Caenorhabditis elegans: one gene and its partners. The protein of the gene in region 1 purifies or fractionates together with the protein of each later gene. This does not show direct contact. Each region holds a gene or a part of one and is shown on either strand. Other genes may lie near its edges.

Region 1 (4,619 bases):
TTTCAGAAAAATGCAACATTTAATCCAAAAACTGAAACATACAGTTACGTGAAGGAGAATGCATTAATCAACACAGTTCATCCCAGATACTCACTCATTGCTTTTCAAAAATCCAAGCCTTACTTTACATTTGAAAAAATGAAACGTAAAACTGCAACCAAAATTATGTAAGCTCGTCAAAGATTTAAAGGTTTTGAAATTTTATTGATATCATAACCAGGAGTGGACGGCAAATTTTTTTGTCGACGAATTTGGCAAATCAGCAACATGCTGGTTTGCCGATTTGCCGATTTGCCAAAACTTTTCAATTCCGGCAAATTTCCGAATAAATTTAAAAATTACAAATTTTTTCGTAGATTTGCAAAACGCATCCGCTCATTCCTTTAATTAATATTCTAAATTATTTTCAGCGATGTCAAGCAAAACCTGGACACTAAAGCAAAAAATCTCTGGTCATCATTGTTGGATCAACAATTTACATTAGCCATTCATGTGCACAATCAGGAACTTTTCCCATTTGATCAATTTTTCATGACATTGAAGCCACCAATTGACTGATTAACAAGAATTGAAAAAAAATATTTATTTTGATGTAATTTATTTTTTTGAACATTTGATTCAAAATACAGATTGGAGATAAATTTTTATATAGTACTATATTGCTGATTTGTGCTCATTTATTTTGTGAGTGGGGGAATGATTTCCGATTGGAAAAGTTTGGTGGACCAAATTGAGGTATAAAATGAGGAATAGGGTGGAAAGGGAAACGCTGAAAAAGCATTAATTGTCAAATAAATTCATAAGGGTCGATTGAGATTCATAATACAAAAAGAAGTATCGGGATAATGTTTCTTACAACTGAAGGAACTGCATGACAAATTGGAATACTTTAGGAATAATCTCTAAATGAGTGGGTGGGTATTTAAGAGATGCATACATTGGTCCAAGTTGAAAATTGTTTACAAAAAGCGGCTGGGAATCAGTTGACATGGTTTTAGTGTGAAATAAAAGATGATTACTGTTTTGAATTCGTTTTTATCAGTATACTGTATTCCCAACAGCATTTCTGAAGTTGAATTTGTGCCTAGGCATGACTCTCTCCCGTAGTGGAGTCTGCGGCATGTCCGGCAATCTCCGACTCGCCGATGTGTATCGGGTGTGCTCCTGAAATTTCTCCCAGAGCTTGAGCTTCGGATGACTGAATTGAGGAATGCTCGGCAGCTGGCTCTGGCATCGCGGCTTCTGGATGCTTGGCGACTGGAGCTGATGTTGCTGCAAATGAAATGTTGGTTTACATGGGTTGATGTTTAACTTTAAAAAAAAACCAATTCAGCGCAAGTGTCTATGCGGTATATAGTGGCGGAGGTGTGTGATTTATATTCAAAAAGGTTTTTGTAAAATCTAGTACGACGGTGGATGTCTCCGACGTCCAAAATCTTCCAGCTACATCGGGCACCTGCGCACACTGTTTAATCATCACTATCACGAATTTCTGCTTATTCTTATTCTCTTAAGCGCTATACTGTTTCTTCAGGTCATAATTTGTTATAATAGATTTTCTTCTGAAACTTACATGCTGGTATGTGACGCCTGACGTCATCATCGTCAAGACCATCCTCTTCATCACTGGAATCTTCCTCCTCCTGTTCTTCTCGTTCATCTTCATGATCCTCTTCTTCCTTCTCATCTGGCTGCTCAGGTTCTTCAGCAGGTTTCTCTTCTGCATTGTCTTCTTTTACTTCTTCTTCCTTTTCTTTTTCATCAACCTCTTCCTCGTCATCTTCATTGTCACTTCCTTCTTTTTCACCTTTCTCCTGTCCAAAACTGTCTCCGTCCTCTGGGAATTCCTTCTTCCATTTGGCAGCAAATTTTTTGCGGAATTGAAGAGCAAAATCAGCTACTGGATCCCCTTCATTGTTGTAAGTGAGACAATTGTTGATCATCTGCAGTTAATAAAAATTAATATCAACTTTTAACAAATCTTAAAACTAACTAATTTGAAGTCTTCCTTGAACTCAACTGCAGTGTCGTACTCCTCGCCGATCAACTTCTTTCTGATGGTTGACATGTCCATTGGCTTCTTGATGACCTCGTGATAGTCGGTGAGGCCAAGTAGGACAACGTCAACTGGCTTACGGAATGGAAATGTGAAGGACTGAAACACATTGTGTAATTCTAGATTGTTCTGCTTCAGTTTCAACTTTCAATTTTAACATAAATTATTTCATTTGATATAGTTTCCAAGATTGATTAAAAATTGTGCGTCGTATAATAAATTGAAAATAATCTAGATTAATATTAAGTGGTTTTAAAATTTTGTGACAGAAACAGAAAGGTTAATTTCTGACCATAGTTTTTTTTAATATAGAAGCTCTTTCACCAAAAAAAAAACTTACATCATGTGTGCTTTTCTCAAACTCTTTCAAAATCGACAGACACTTCTTCAGCTCGTCATGAAGATGGTCCGACTCAGCCTCATCTTCAGACTCCGACTTTGCCTTCTTCTTTCTTCCACGCTTGGCTGGCGGACCTCCTGCTCCGCCGTCTGAATTCTTGGATCCACGTGGACGTCCTCTCCCACCACGGCCAGTTCCTCCTCCTCGGGTGCTTTCACCACCTTCAACGGTTGCCCCAGCGGCGGTGGCTCCTCCGCGGCCACGGCCGCGTCCTCGTCCGCGGCCACCACGTCCACGACCAGATGGGGTCCTTTTTGATTTGAAATCGTCCTGTAATGTTGTTTTTATAGTTCTGAGTAATTATATTTGATAAATTATTTTTTTACACATTGGTTTTAATATGTTGATTTGCTAAACACACCTCTTCTCCGTCATCACTATCCGGTGAGATCGCTCTTTTTGGAGCTGGATGATTTGCACTTCGAGTAGTTGGCATTTTCCGGTAGTGAAATTTGCCTGAAACAACAAATGTATCATTTTTCTAATCGATAAATTGACCAAATCAAGAAAATACGTCGTTTTTTGTCATAGAGGATAATAGAAATTGTTTAATGGTTACTAGGGTTCAATAATTTCAAATTTGAAAAAGCGAACAATAAACTGAAAGAGGTATTGTTGGTATAAACAAACGCGAAAAAAAGAAGAGCAACACAAACTGTGAATGAATACTAAAGGCCCACCACTACTACACACTGGCCACCGCTGAGAGAACAGAGAGACCACTGGTTTTCAAGAGTACATCAAGTCAAGAGAGTACAGAGAAACGACAGAACGCTGCCCATGTGGTTGTTGTCTCTATGCGAGTAGCTCTGTGCTCGGGGGCCGATGTCGTTGCCGATGTGCCCAGTCCGCCAGAAGCAGAGAAACGAGAGTTGTGAAGGTGAGAGACACTGGTGGCATAAAAGAGTGGTCGGAGAAGGGCAAGATGCTGGGTTACATTGAAGGCAGGGCAGCTGGGCGAAGAACAGAGAAGGAGTATGGATGTGTGAGCGTAGATGAGGAGGGGTTGTTTCTTCTCACTCTAGGGTCTCTCGCTCTCTGTGACGTTGTTGTGTCTCTCTATTTCTCTTCTCCTTTTCTTCCCGCTCTCGTTTTGGCTATTTACCCATTCTCACTAGATAACAACTGGAGATAGATCCCCCAGCCGCTCTCGCGCGTTTTGGACTTAGAAGGTAATTAGTGTGTGCGCACCTGCAAAATATGTTAGTTTGGATGGATTTCCAGGCAATGGAATGTCAATGTGAGAACGGGGCTCCGGGGCTAATAAAAAAGAATAAGATGGATAGGGTTATGAAAACGAAGGAAATGGCAGAATGAAAAACAACAAATCAAGATAATAGGAAACAATAAACTTTTTTTGTGAGAATTTTCAGTTGTCTTTTTGAATTTGTAACTAATATTTATGATAGTCGAGCAATTATAGACATACTCAGTTTTTCCCCAACAAAGATTTTGCAATTTTACTAGCAAAAAATTACGCTACTGAATATCCAAAATTGAGAATTACGCGTCTCGTACATCTATACTAAACGAAATTTTGTCCGGCAGAGTATAATTGAAGGTGGGTTTTGCGTATCTGACCGGGTGACACCACTATACTCGCTAGATATTTTGGGAATATTTTGGGTTTTAATAAGCAAGATTAAATTTTAATACATTTTTGAGTGATATTGGATAAGTACATTATCTAAGTATATAACTGTTGTGTGAGTTTTAAGCCGAAGAATCAGGAAATTGGATTTTAATTATTGACTTATCAGACGGATAAATCAAAAAACATATCACAAAATTTCTGAGAAAGAATTTTGAGTTTTCAAACTTCCCTAGTTTCATGTGAACCGGCATATGGTCGGTTTTCTTTTGATTTCAACTTTTGAAAAATTATACTTCTTAAACGTTTTTCTAATCGGTATTGTGAGTCCTGACACCAAAACCACTAAAAATATACATTTTAATCATGACCTACAAAAACTTTCTATCTACTAGTTCACTGATACAGGTGCTACACCCGTTTAATCGGTACCGTGAATTTGCACTGGTGCAGTGAACAATTTTTAGTGTACGGTTTGTTGCCGAAAAAAATTTTTGTATACATGGATACTGACTGCACAAAAAACGAAATTTAAAACTATTAAGAAATAATATGGTTAGTTATTTATCTTT
Region 2 (4,683 bases), on another chromosome or scaffold:
ACAGTACCCCATAACTTTCCGTGTAGAGACCCAAAAAATTTTTGTTTTTTTTTTTGAAAAATTGGAAAAAAATTTTCAAAATTTTTTTTTTCAAACTTAAATTAATTTTACTGATTTTGTTGAAGTTTTTCGCTATATTAAAATTGATTTTAAAAAATCTGCACCCATTGCTTAGGTGCAAAATGTATCCCTCTACCCCTTTTCAGGTACACTAAGAATTCAGCGAATTCAGATTTGCCAAACATCAAAACAATGGAATTTTTCATTGTTTCTCACGTGTAGCAACTGATAAAAACTGATAAAAGATATCAAAATTGATCCTATGACGTCATCATGTCTTATGACGAATTCCACCCCCCGCTGACTGTGAGAAAAGTATTTAAAAACTTGATTTTTCAAGTTTTTCCCTAAAAACTTTTTACACTTTCTCTATGTAAAAGTTCAAAAAAACATGCGAAAAACTACAGTAACCTTATTATTTTTGATATTTTTTATTCAAATTTCTGAAATTCTGACTCTACCTATCAATTATGGTGCATCGTTGAACTCTGTACACTCGGATGACCTGAGTGCTGAGGATTATCAAGTTTTGAGGAAAAATGAGACAAAAATTGAGTAAGTTCATTGATTTTTTGCTAATAGAAAGGTTTTTGAAATTTTGGAAAAATTAAAAAAAAAATTTTTTTGAAAAAAACTTGTTTAAAAATAATAATTCCGCCAAATTATCGATTTTTTTGGTCGAAATCTCAAGTTTTAAATGTTTTCTTTAATTTTATTGAATTCAGCGTCATTGATTACCCCTATCCCAAAATTTTGGGCCTTCTAGCTCAATTTTCAAGAATTGGCTGAGTAGCGACCCATTGCGATACGGAGTTTGGTCAGTTTTAGTGCAAATGGCTAAAAATTTAGGATTCTGGGTTTCCAAGTATGGCAAATTTAATGATAATGTTAGTTTTTCAAAACTATGACTCCGTATCGCAGTTCTGAGTCGCTACTCAGCCAAATTTCAAAATTTTGAGATTTTGAGCTAGAGCTCTGAAAACCTATAGATAAGGGTAATCAATCACGCTGAATCCAAAAATAACTTCTAAAACCAAAAATTTTAATTTTTTCCAGAAGAATCCACAGAATTCAGCAATTTTTCAAAGCGGAGCACCACGAATCCACGTGGCGAGACTCGATTTGCAGTGCATTCCACTCGTTTTCACTGTTCCCGCCAAACTGCTTTGCGGCTCCGCCAAACGACAAATAAATCGATATTATTGATTTATGAAATGACATGATTTTTTTCTACGACGCACAATAAATTTTTGTGATTTTCTGATTTTTTTTGATTTTTTTTTGGGTCTCGTCACGAAAAGTTGTGGGGTACTGTAGTTTTTACCGGAATTTCTAAAATTTTTATTTTATCTTTTACGTGGGTAGTTTTCGCACATTTTAAGCCAAAAATGAACAAAATATCTCAAAAACTAAAAAAGTTACAAAATTTTTAAAAAATTGAATAAAAACGTAAAAACTCAAAAATTGCCAAAAAACATTCCACGTCGGGAACCACGTCGTTTGATTTTCGAAAGTCGATAAATCGATATTGAAAAATTTATTTCACAATATTCAAGATGAAATTGTGGTCGATTTTATTGGTGACCATATCGATTTTTGGCATCTGCCACGTGGAACCATATGAGCTAAGTAAGTACGGGGGTTTGACGCCAAGATACGGTTCGATTCTACAAAATTATCGGATTTTTCGGGAAATTATCGATTTTCTTGAGAAATTATCGATTTTCTGGCGGAAATATCGATTTTCTTGCTAAATTATCGATTTTCTTGCGAAATTATCGATTTTTTCGCGAAATTATCGATTTTTTCGGGAAATATTGATTTTCGGGAAATTATCGATTTTCTGGCGAAATTACCGATTTTTCGCGAAATATTGATTTTTTCGCGAAATATTGATTTTCGGGAAATTATCGATTTTTTCGCGAAATTATCGATTTTTCGCGGAATTATTGATTTTCTGGCGAAATTATCGATTTTCTTGCGAAAATATCGATTTTCTTGCGAAATTATCGATTTTTGGCGAAATTATTGATTTTCTTGCCAAATTATCGATTTTTCGCGAAATTATTGATTTTCTTGCGAAATTATCGATTTTCTCACGTGTCGAAAAGTTGCCCTTATTTTTTATTTCTGTCAAGAATGCAATTTCAGGATTTAATATAGGAAGAGGCAGATTTTCTTGCGAAATTATCGATTTTTTCGCGAAATTATCGATTTTTTTCCCGAAATTATTGATTTTCCAGGAAATTATCGATTTTTAAAAAATTATCGATTTTTAAAAAATTATCGATTTTTAAAAAATTATCGATTTTTAAAAAATTATCGATTTTTTGCGTAATTACTGATTTTCGATAAATTATCGATTTTTTCGCGAAATTATCGATTTTTGATATTTTCGATGAACACGTGGAGTTTGTTATTTATTTCTTTTTGAAAATGACGTGGAGAGGACGGTAAAAAAAAGCCACGTGGCCATTGCGATTGCGAAATTATCGATTTTTGATAATTTATCGATTATTCGCGAAATTATCGATTTTTCAACAAAAATTTATTGATTTTTTCCAGGTTTCGTCGATTGGCCTACACCCGCCCCGCCGACCTCAACAACTCCACCAGTGTAAGTCTATCCGTTGTCCCGTTAGTTTATCCCGATGACCGCTCTTTTTCAGATCCTCAACCAAACCACCACCTGCTGAACAGTTTAATTCGCTGACCGACATTCTCGACCTAATTCCAATCGAAGTGTAAGTTGTGAAAATTTGACATCGATAATTGCTCGGCGGCGAAAAATTGGTTTTTTTTTTTCGAAAAATCGATAATCTATGTTGATTTTATTGATTTTTTTGGTCGGATTTTTGAAGAAAAATCAATAATTTTTATTGATTTTTTGTTCAAAAAATCGATAACTTGCGTCATTTCTTTTATCGAAAATCAGTAATTTCGCAAAAAAATCGATAATTTCGCAAGAAAATCAATAATTTCGCAAGAAAATCGATAATTTCGCGAAAAAATCGATAATTTCGCAAGAAAATCGATAATTTCGCAAGAAAATCGATAATTTCGCAAGAAAATCGATAATTTTGCAAGAAAATCGATAATTTTGCAAGAAAATCGATAATTTCGCGAAAAAAATCGATAATTTCGCGAAATTATCGATTTTCTTGCGAAAAAATCAATAATTTCACGAAAAAGTCGATAATTTCGCGAAAAAAATCGATAATTTCGAAAGAAAATCGATAATTTCGCAAATTTTCTGTAATTTTTCAGCTGGCTTGTTGTACTTTTCCTGGAATCTGCGTTTGTTGGAGCATTTGGAGCATATTGCTACTGGAAAGTTCAACAATGGCGCGACGAGAAAATGGCAAGGGAAAAGGCTTGGGAAAGGCGTCTGGCACGAGTTTCTGAAGTTTCGGCTTCGAAAAATCGAAACGCTGGAGGTGTGGATCCTGCAAAAAGACCGAGAGAATCAGCCAAATGGCTGAAACATGTAAAGGAGGTGACGCTGAAACGGGGTGGAGTCGAGCTGCTGCCGATGGAGGATGTGATCGTGAAAAATAAAGAGGTAGAGATTTTTCCGAAAAAATTTGAAAATTTACGTGTCAAAAATCAAGGAAAAATCTTGAAAATGAACAAAGTTATGGGTTTTCGAAAAAAAAATTTTTTTTTGAAAATTTTTTTTGTAAAAAAATTTGTTTTTTCAGAAATTCAAAAAGCCACAAAATGAGCTTCGAGAAAATGAAGTGTGGGTGGAAAGACAAACGGGCCCTGATATTGATAAAGATTCGGACCCAAAGACGGAAAATGCATTGGATGAGCAGGATTATCAGCTGGAAGATGGATGGCACGGCAAGTCAGGTATGGTTTTAAAATCAGGTTTTAAGAAATTTTACTTTAAACATTGCAAGTTATTAAATTAAACATTAAACTCACAAAAAGATTGCGCTCATTTTAAGACTATATTCAATCGAATATCTTTAAAATTCGCAGAGTTATGTAGTTTTGAAAATAAAATTTGAAAATTTGAAATTTTTTTTTAAATTTTTATTTTCTTGAAAGCTCGAGCTAACTTTCAATTCAAAACCGATTTGGCGTGAATTTTCAGATTTAGCACGCCTAGAGCTTTCAAATAACACCCATCATGACTAGGTTTCGCCTGTTTTGGGTCCCCAAGTTTTCAAAGTGGACGGAGCTTAGTCAATATGGGTGTTAAATGGAAAGTCTTGACACGCTGAATTAAAAAATGAGCAAAAAATTGTAAAAATTTTTTATGTTTTCCAAAAATCTCAAAAAAAAATTTTTTTTTTTTTAATTTTTTTCTAAATTTTTAGACTTTTTTTGCACCAACTGAGAAATAATTAACAAATTCAAAATAATCACATTGAGACCTTTAAAATAAAACCCATCATGACTAGGTTCCGCACATTTTGGGTCCCGCCACGAAAATGCCGCCGGGAGTACTCTGGTTTTCGTGGTGGGACCCAAGAATTTGCAATTTTTAATCTGAAACGTTCAAATCGGTTTCGTAGAAAATTTTAAAAGTTTTTGAAACAAAAATTTTGAAAAAAAATTTTTTTTTCGAAATTAATTTTTTTTGGAAATTTTGAAATTTTGTTTTTTTTTCTA
Region 3 (5,596 bases), 3.1 Mb from region 1:
TATTAAAAAAAAAAACGGCGAAGAAAGCGAGAGAACGCGAAAGTATAAAAAATGACGTCACTCATTTGCGCAGAAATTTAAATTTAATTCGGCCGAAATCATAAAAAATTTAGAAAAAGTTTATAATTTTTTTACAGTCGTAATCTGTCCTTACAGCCCATTTTCTATCATTTAAAGCAATTATAAATATTAAAATTGTGATGCAATTTTTATTAAAATTTTTTGATCTACTCGCGCTGCACTAAAAATATCCATGACCTCCCTTCTGTTTTTTTTTACAATTATTCTTGCGAAATTGGGGGTGCGAGTTCTTTTATGATTTTAGTTTACCTTTTCTGTGAAATTTCTGCTACATTTTTACATTTTTTAGCACCTGTCGTACATTGAAAGCATTTGATAAGTTCCAGGATGATTGCTAGATTATATTTCCACATAGATTTCTGTTTTCTTCTCTACATTCTGAAACTTACTGCGAACATGCTAGTTTTTGTTTACATTTTACTATCACATATGTATAATAATTGGACCTATGACCGTCATTACCATTTTCCGTAACGGCCTTGCGCCCACCGTAACGCTCTGTTTCGTGCGCAATCACACGAGAATCCGTGAACATTTGTCATATGTTCATTGAGTTAAAAGAGTCCCATTGTTAGTCTAGAGCGTCAAAAATTAACTGCGCTAGTGCCTCTGGATGCCGTGTCGTCGTGTGAGCGCATGTGTGTGCGTGTTTGTGTGTTTGTGTTTTGTTGACGTGGGGGTGCAGTTGGCTATATGTGAGCGTGTGTGTGCGTGTGTGTGAGTGTTCTATGAGTGTGCGCGCGAACGAATGTAGGGGGGTTTTGTGTGCTGCGTGCGTGGCATCCGCCGAGGGGCCCTTTGCCCTGTCCAACGAGTCCTCTTCCTCACCATATTACCCACCCAGTTATTGTTGTGGGTGACGATAAACACTAAGCACCACCACCTGCGTGCGCGTCTTTTCACTTTCATTTGTTCACCTCAGTTTTCAACTTCGTTCCTCCTAATTTTTTTTCAATCAGATAATAGGTTAGAAATTAAAATTATGCACTGACCAAAATAGAAAAGCACTGACCAAAATAGAAAAGCACTGACCAAAATAGAAAAGCACTGACCAAAGTCGAAAAGCACTGACCAAATTAGTAATTGCACTGACCAAATCAGAATGCACTAACCAAATTAGAAATTCCACTGACAGAAATTGAGTCAGGTTTCCTTTTTTTTATCCTTGGGCAAAACTAAAACTTTTTTAGCTCTACTCATTGAATTTCCAACCAAAATTTTGCATGCCAACCGTGCAATTTATACATTGTGCTATTTTTTTCAATGGTACTCTTATATTCCCATTTTTCCACAATTGTAGTTACAAGCAAAAATTAAATCTATAGCTATGATATGAATCTAGCTATCTAGATACCTAGACATTATTTTTCGAGAGCCCCAACGCGATGCATGATTCTTTCAAAGTTTGAATTTCTCATAAAATTCTATGTTTTGAACTAACCATGTTACTTGGAATGCAATCTAGCTTCAAGAATTTGTTTTGATTTTTCCCAACAATTACTAGCAAAGGAAATTCAAAAATTATATAATTTTGTGTAAAATGCTCACAATGTTTTTTTGCGGTAACAAGAGTAGGTTAAAAACAAACAAATAGCTATAACATTTCTCTTTTTTATTTTAATTCAGCAAATCTTTTGATCTAGTTTTGAAATGTGACACCGCCAGCTTCTATTCGTTATAATTTTACTCATAAAATAAATAGTAAAACTGAATGTTGTAAGCACTAAATTATATGTTTTTTTTATTCGGTTTTTCCTACAATTTAAATTTTCAATTATTAACAGGCTCTCAATATTGCACCTATCAGTTGTTTTAAACTCTGACAAATTTTCATGTTAACTTTGTTCAGAAGCTATGCAAAACGATAGATCTCGCTGGAAAACCGAAGGACACTCGAGTGAAGTACATGAGGACTTTCTCAGGAATAGTGTTCAAAGAAGAAATCAATTGGAGAAGGTACATAATGTTTAGAGCGTTTGTATATTCTTATATATAATAATTTTTTACAGATTCTCTTTTCCTACAATAATCTTCATCGTCTGGATCCAAGTTACGGGGAAATCGTTCAAAGAGCTTTTGAATCAAATGATCCTATTGCGCTGTGGAATTTTGAGAATGAGGTTCTGTTGAACTCAAAAGACGTTGATGATCTCATGCAGCAACAGTTCGCCGCTCCCGTCCAAAATAATCAGTGCCCAAATCCTTATCAAAATTGCGGATATCAGAACAATTTGGTGAGCACGTTGGATGCTTCATTTAAGGTTTGTTTTTCAATTTGAAAAGTTTGTTCATGAGATATTGAGAATTTCCAATCTCAGGCAATTTGAAAGCTTATTTCGTTGATAATTTTTTGAAATGGGAATACTAGATTGCAATAAAAATTAAGCGAACGGCGAAACTAAAAGCTGACAATTAAACTTTTAATGATTTTAGAAACTCGTTGATTTAATGGAAAAAATCGGTTTTTTTTTCAATCGAGAGGAGTAAACAAGTTTTAATTTTTAGAAATGTAGTTTTTCACTGTTTAAAAACCCCAAGGCCATAAGAATTTCTTTAAAACTTTGAAACAATTGCAATTTTCAGGTACACCCATTTGCTCAACATGGTAATTACATGCCACCTCCGGCACAGTTTGCATCAAATCCAAACGTCTTTCCGCAACCTGTTCCTCCATACACTATGGATTTGGCAGCGTCGAATTCAGGATTTGCACACCCACAGATTGTAAACCAGCCTATGCATCCACACGTGCCTGTTGGTTCCCAGAATTACAATCCTCCCCAATTTGTGCCAGCTCCACCAACCATGATGCCAGTCGGAGCTGTAATGGTTTCGCAAGGATCGTATTCAATGTCACCACCTCAAATTGATACTTCAAAGCCACCTTCTGGATATGGATTCTCGTCTCCCATCTTTCCATCACCGTCTTACAGTCAATATTCTGGTCCACCTGCCAACGAAGGATTCCCAGACATTATTTATGATAACAATGGAGTTGCATATTGTCGAGTTGTCAGCGCACCTGTATGCGTCGTTTCCATGTCACAATCGGGATCATCAGTATGCTCATCACAATCGTTTTCTTCCGGACAGGTAATAAACAATATTATCGACTACAACAAAAACAACTTAACTGCTGCTTGGGTATGCCAGAATTTGAAAATTTGAACATGACCGCTTTTAGGGAAGTTATATGAAAAATTTAAAAGTTGGGAGATTAACTGGTTTGCATCTAAAACCATTTTAGTAACCCGCTTCTTGTCTGACCATGAATATCAGACACACTCCTAAATTTATGACAACTATCATTAAATGTTCCTGAAAGTGATAATGATCAAATGTTTAAACTTGAACACACTCACGCAGCACTTGACTAATTTATAATGCTATATTACAAAATGGTTTTTTCAGAGCGACATATCTATGTCCAGCAGACCGCCCATCAATGGATCTAGTGTTGGAAATGGTTCGTTATCACCCATGACTGATAGTGTCAGGGAAGAATCGGAAGACGAAGATTATGGAACGTTGACGCCTGTTGGTCAGCAAGATTGCGACTTGGATTCAGTAGACACGGAAAGTGTTGCAAATGAGCCAGAACCTTATAGCAGTACAATGTCTGAAATGCCACCATTAGATGATGTTGATGATATAATGGAGAACCTTGATCTTTCGAAAACACTGATTGAGCCGGAAACTTTGGAACACTCGGATAACATGAGCGTAGTTGAAATCAAATCTGAACCTGTATCTGAAATGACGACTGACTCGTTGATTGTTGATGATGACAGGGATACGTCAATATCTGAAATCATTAAGTATCTGGATACGTCGGATGACGTTTTGGAATCATGGCAGGAGGCGACGGGCAGGAAGAAATGGTGATTTTTTGATATTACTGCTAAAATGATAAATTCTGTAATTTTCAGTTTTGTACCACAGAAAACACAAAAACTCGTCTACCCGCTGCCATTGTCAAAAGTCGAAAAACCATTGCAAAAATGTCAGCAGACTTTGGCCGCTTCCACCATTGACGAGGATAGCAAAGAAGCATCAACTATTGCTCTACCCGACGCCAGGAAAAAGTTGACAAAAAAAGAAAAGCGCCTTATGGCTGCACAGAAGGCAAATCAATTGGAAACTGATGACGATGTACTGGAAGCAGCATATCGAGAAAGACAGAAGCATGTGGAGCAAGCTGGTGGTGACTACTCAAGCTCAGGACAGAAAGACCAAAGTGAGATTCATCATCGCCATTTGGTACTAATATTTTCAATTTCAGAAAAGAAGCGAGGAAAAAGACCCGTCTCGAATCCACCGCCATCGTTGATCAGTCCCCAAATCCTGCATGCAGTTCAAATGGCAATTGCTAACAGAGCAAAGAAGATTTCAGAATCGGGTCGTCCAATTTTTCACGAAAATTTCTCATATCAAAAATTCTATGAAACGGTGGATACTTTTGTGAAAACTTGGGAAGAAAATTCGAATGAAATGAACAAAGTGTTACAGTTTATTGAAAAACGCATTTTGGCATTCAAAATGGTGAGTTTTAATGAATTTTGGTACTTTTAAGTGTCTCAAACTGACTATTTACAGGTTCAACGTCCGCAAAGTCTCTCGCGTATTACAATCTACGAGCAACTTCAGCTGAACTTGCCGCCAGCTATTCTTCCGGAACTATGCTTTTTGGCCGGTCTCACCAGCGATTCTACTGACAAATTAGAGTATTACGAAGAAATTTTCTTCAACCTTTTCTAGATTCCGTTATTGTTTGTACACATTGTACCCAGTGATCAGATGTTTTAACTGTGATTAACCATGACCATTCAGTTGTATTTTTCAGTCCATTTAATTACGTGTCATTGTCTTCAATTTTAATTTATTGACTTTATGGGTAAATCAATTTATGTATTGAGATTTTTAGAATAAAAATGTCTAGTCTTGTATTTCTTCATCTTTTCAGAGGCTCTAACCAGTTTCAAACTTCTACCAATTTTAAATTCAAGTTTAGAAAGGGTTGAATAACTCAAGAGACGCGTTTTTGACTTCACAAACAAATTAGGCAAACTGGACAGACGGACATTATTATTTTGTTGATTATTTATTATTACCTCAAACATTTAATTCCCAAAATCAAAATCAAAATCAAAAAATCAAAAGAGATCGTGCTTAAGTGAAACTAGATGAAGAAGTTAAATATAGCTATTTTTGTCTACGAAATATTTTTGAAATTGAAACATTTTATCCAATCTGTATGTTTTGAAATTAGGCTGACGAAATCTTTTGAAAAAAAAAAACGCTATCGAAGAGGATACAACTTTTGCTCATTTTTTCCTTATGGCTTACAACAAATTGAAAAATTAAAGCAATAAATCTAAATTGATAGCCCCCTTAATCTATTTTTCAATCAATCCGTACACATTTCGGCAGCGTTATGCTCACCGTCATCACATTCATCGGGTCTTGTCAACGTATCCTATGTGCACTGCTGTGTGCGTACTCATTATCTGATATA

Evidence for each region.
Region 2: the proteins of F13C5.2 (region 1) and Y54F10BM.3 fractionate together in Caenorhabditis elegans (co-fractionation; one large-scale study listed by BioGRID). This does not show direct contact.
Region 3: the proteins of F13C5.2 (region 1) and C02F12.8 fractionate together in Caenorhabditis elegans (co-fractionation; one large-scale study listed by BioGRID). This does not show direct contact.

Annotation. Positions count from the first base shown.
Region 1 is NC_003284.9:592,253-596,871, reverse strand, and holds F13C5.2 (Bromo domain-containing protein), read right to left. Parts: upstream 2,913-4,619; 5' UTR 2,893-2,912; coding exon 2,818-2,892; intron 2,727-2,817; coding exon 2,397-2,726; intron 2,156-2,396; coding exon 1,994-2,155; intron 1,944-1,993; coding exon 1,574-1,943; intron 1,273-1,573; coding exon 1,085-1,272; 3' UTR 572-1,084; downstream 1-571. Other genes in the region: F13C5.3 (Peptidase_M13 domain-containing protein), read left to right, coding at 7-167, 411-558.
Region 2 is NC_003281.10:2,280,470-2,285,152, forward strand, and holds the start of Y54F10BM.3 (Tyrosine-protein phosphatase domain-containing protein), read left to right. Parts: upstream 1-1,555; 5' UTR 1,556-1,616; coding exon 1,617-1,689; intron 1,690-2,625; coding exon 2,626-2,677; intron 2,678-2,729; coding exon 2,730-2,804; intron 2,805-3,327; coding exon 3,328-3,622; intron 3,623-3,761; coding exon 3,762-3,915; intron 3,916-4,683. Other genes in the region: Y54F10BM.22 (Neuropeptide-Like Protein), read left to right, coding at 452-615, 1,117-1,252.
Region 3 is NC_003284.9:3,689,573-3,695,168, reverse strand, and holds C02F12.8 (uncharacterized protein), read left to right. Parts: upstream 1-1,930; 5' UTR 1,931-1,935; coding exon 1,936-2,037; intron 2,038-2,090; coding exon 2,091-2,342; intron 2,343-2,664; coding exon 2,665-3,174; intron 3,175-3,492; coding exon 3,493-3,962; intron 3,963-4,010; coding exon 4,011-4,318; intron 4,319-4,363; coding exon 4,364-4,623; intron 4,624-4,677; coding exon 4,678-4,839; 3' UTR 4,840-5,026; downstream 5,027-5,596.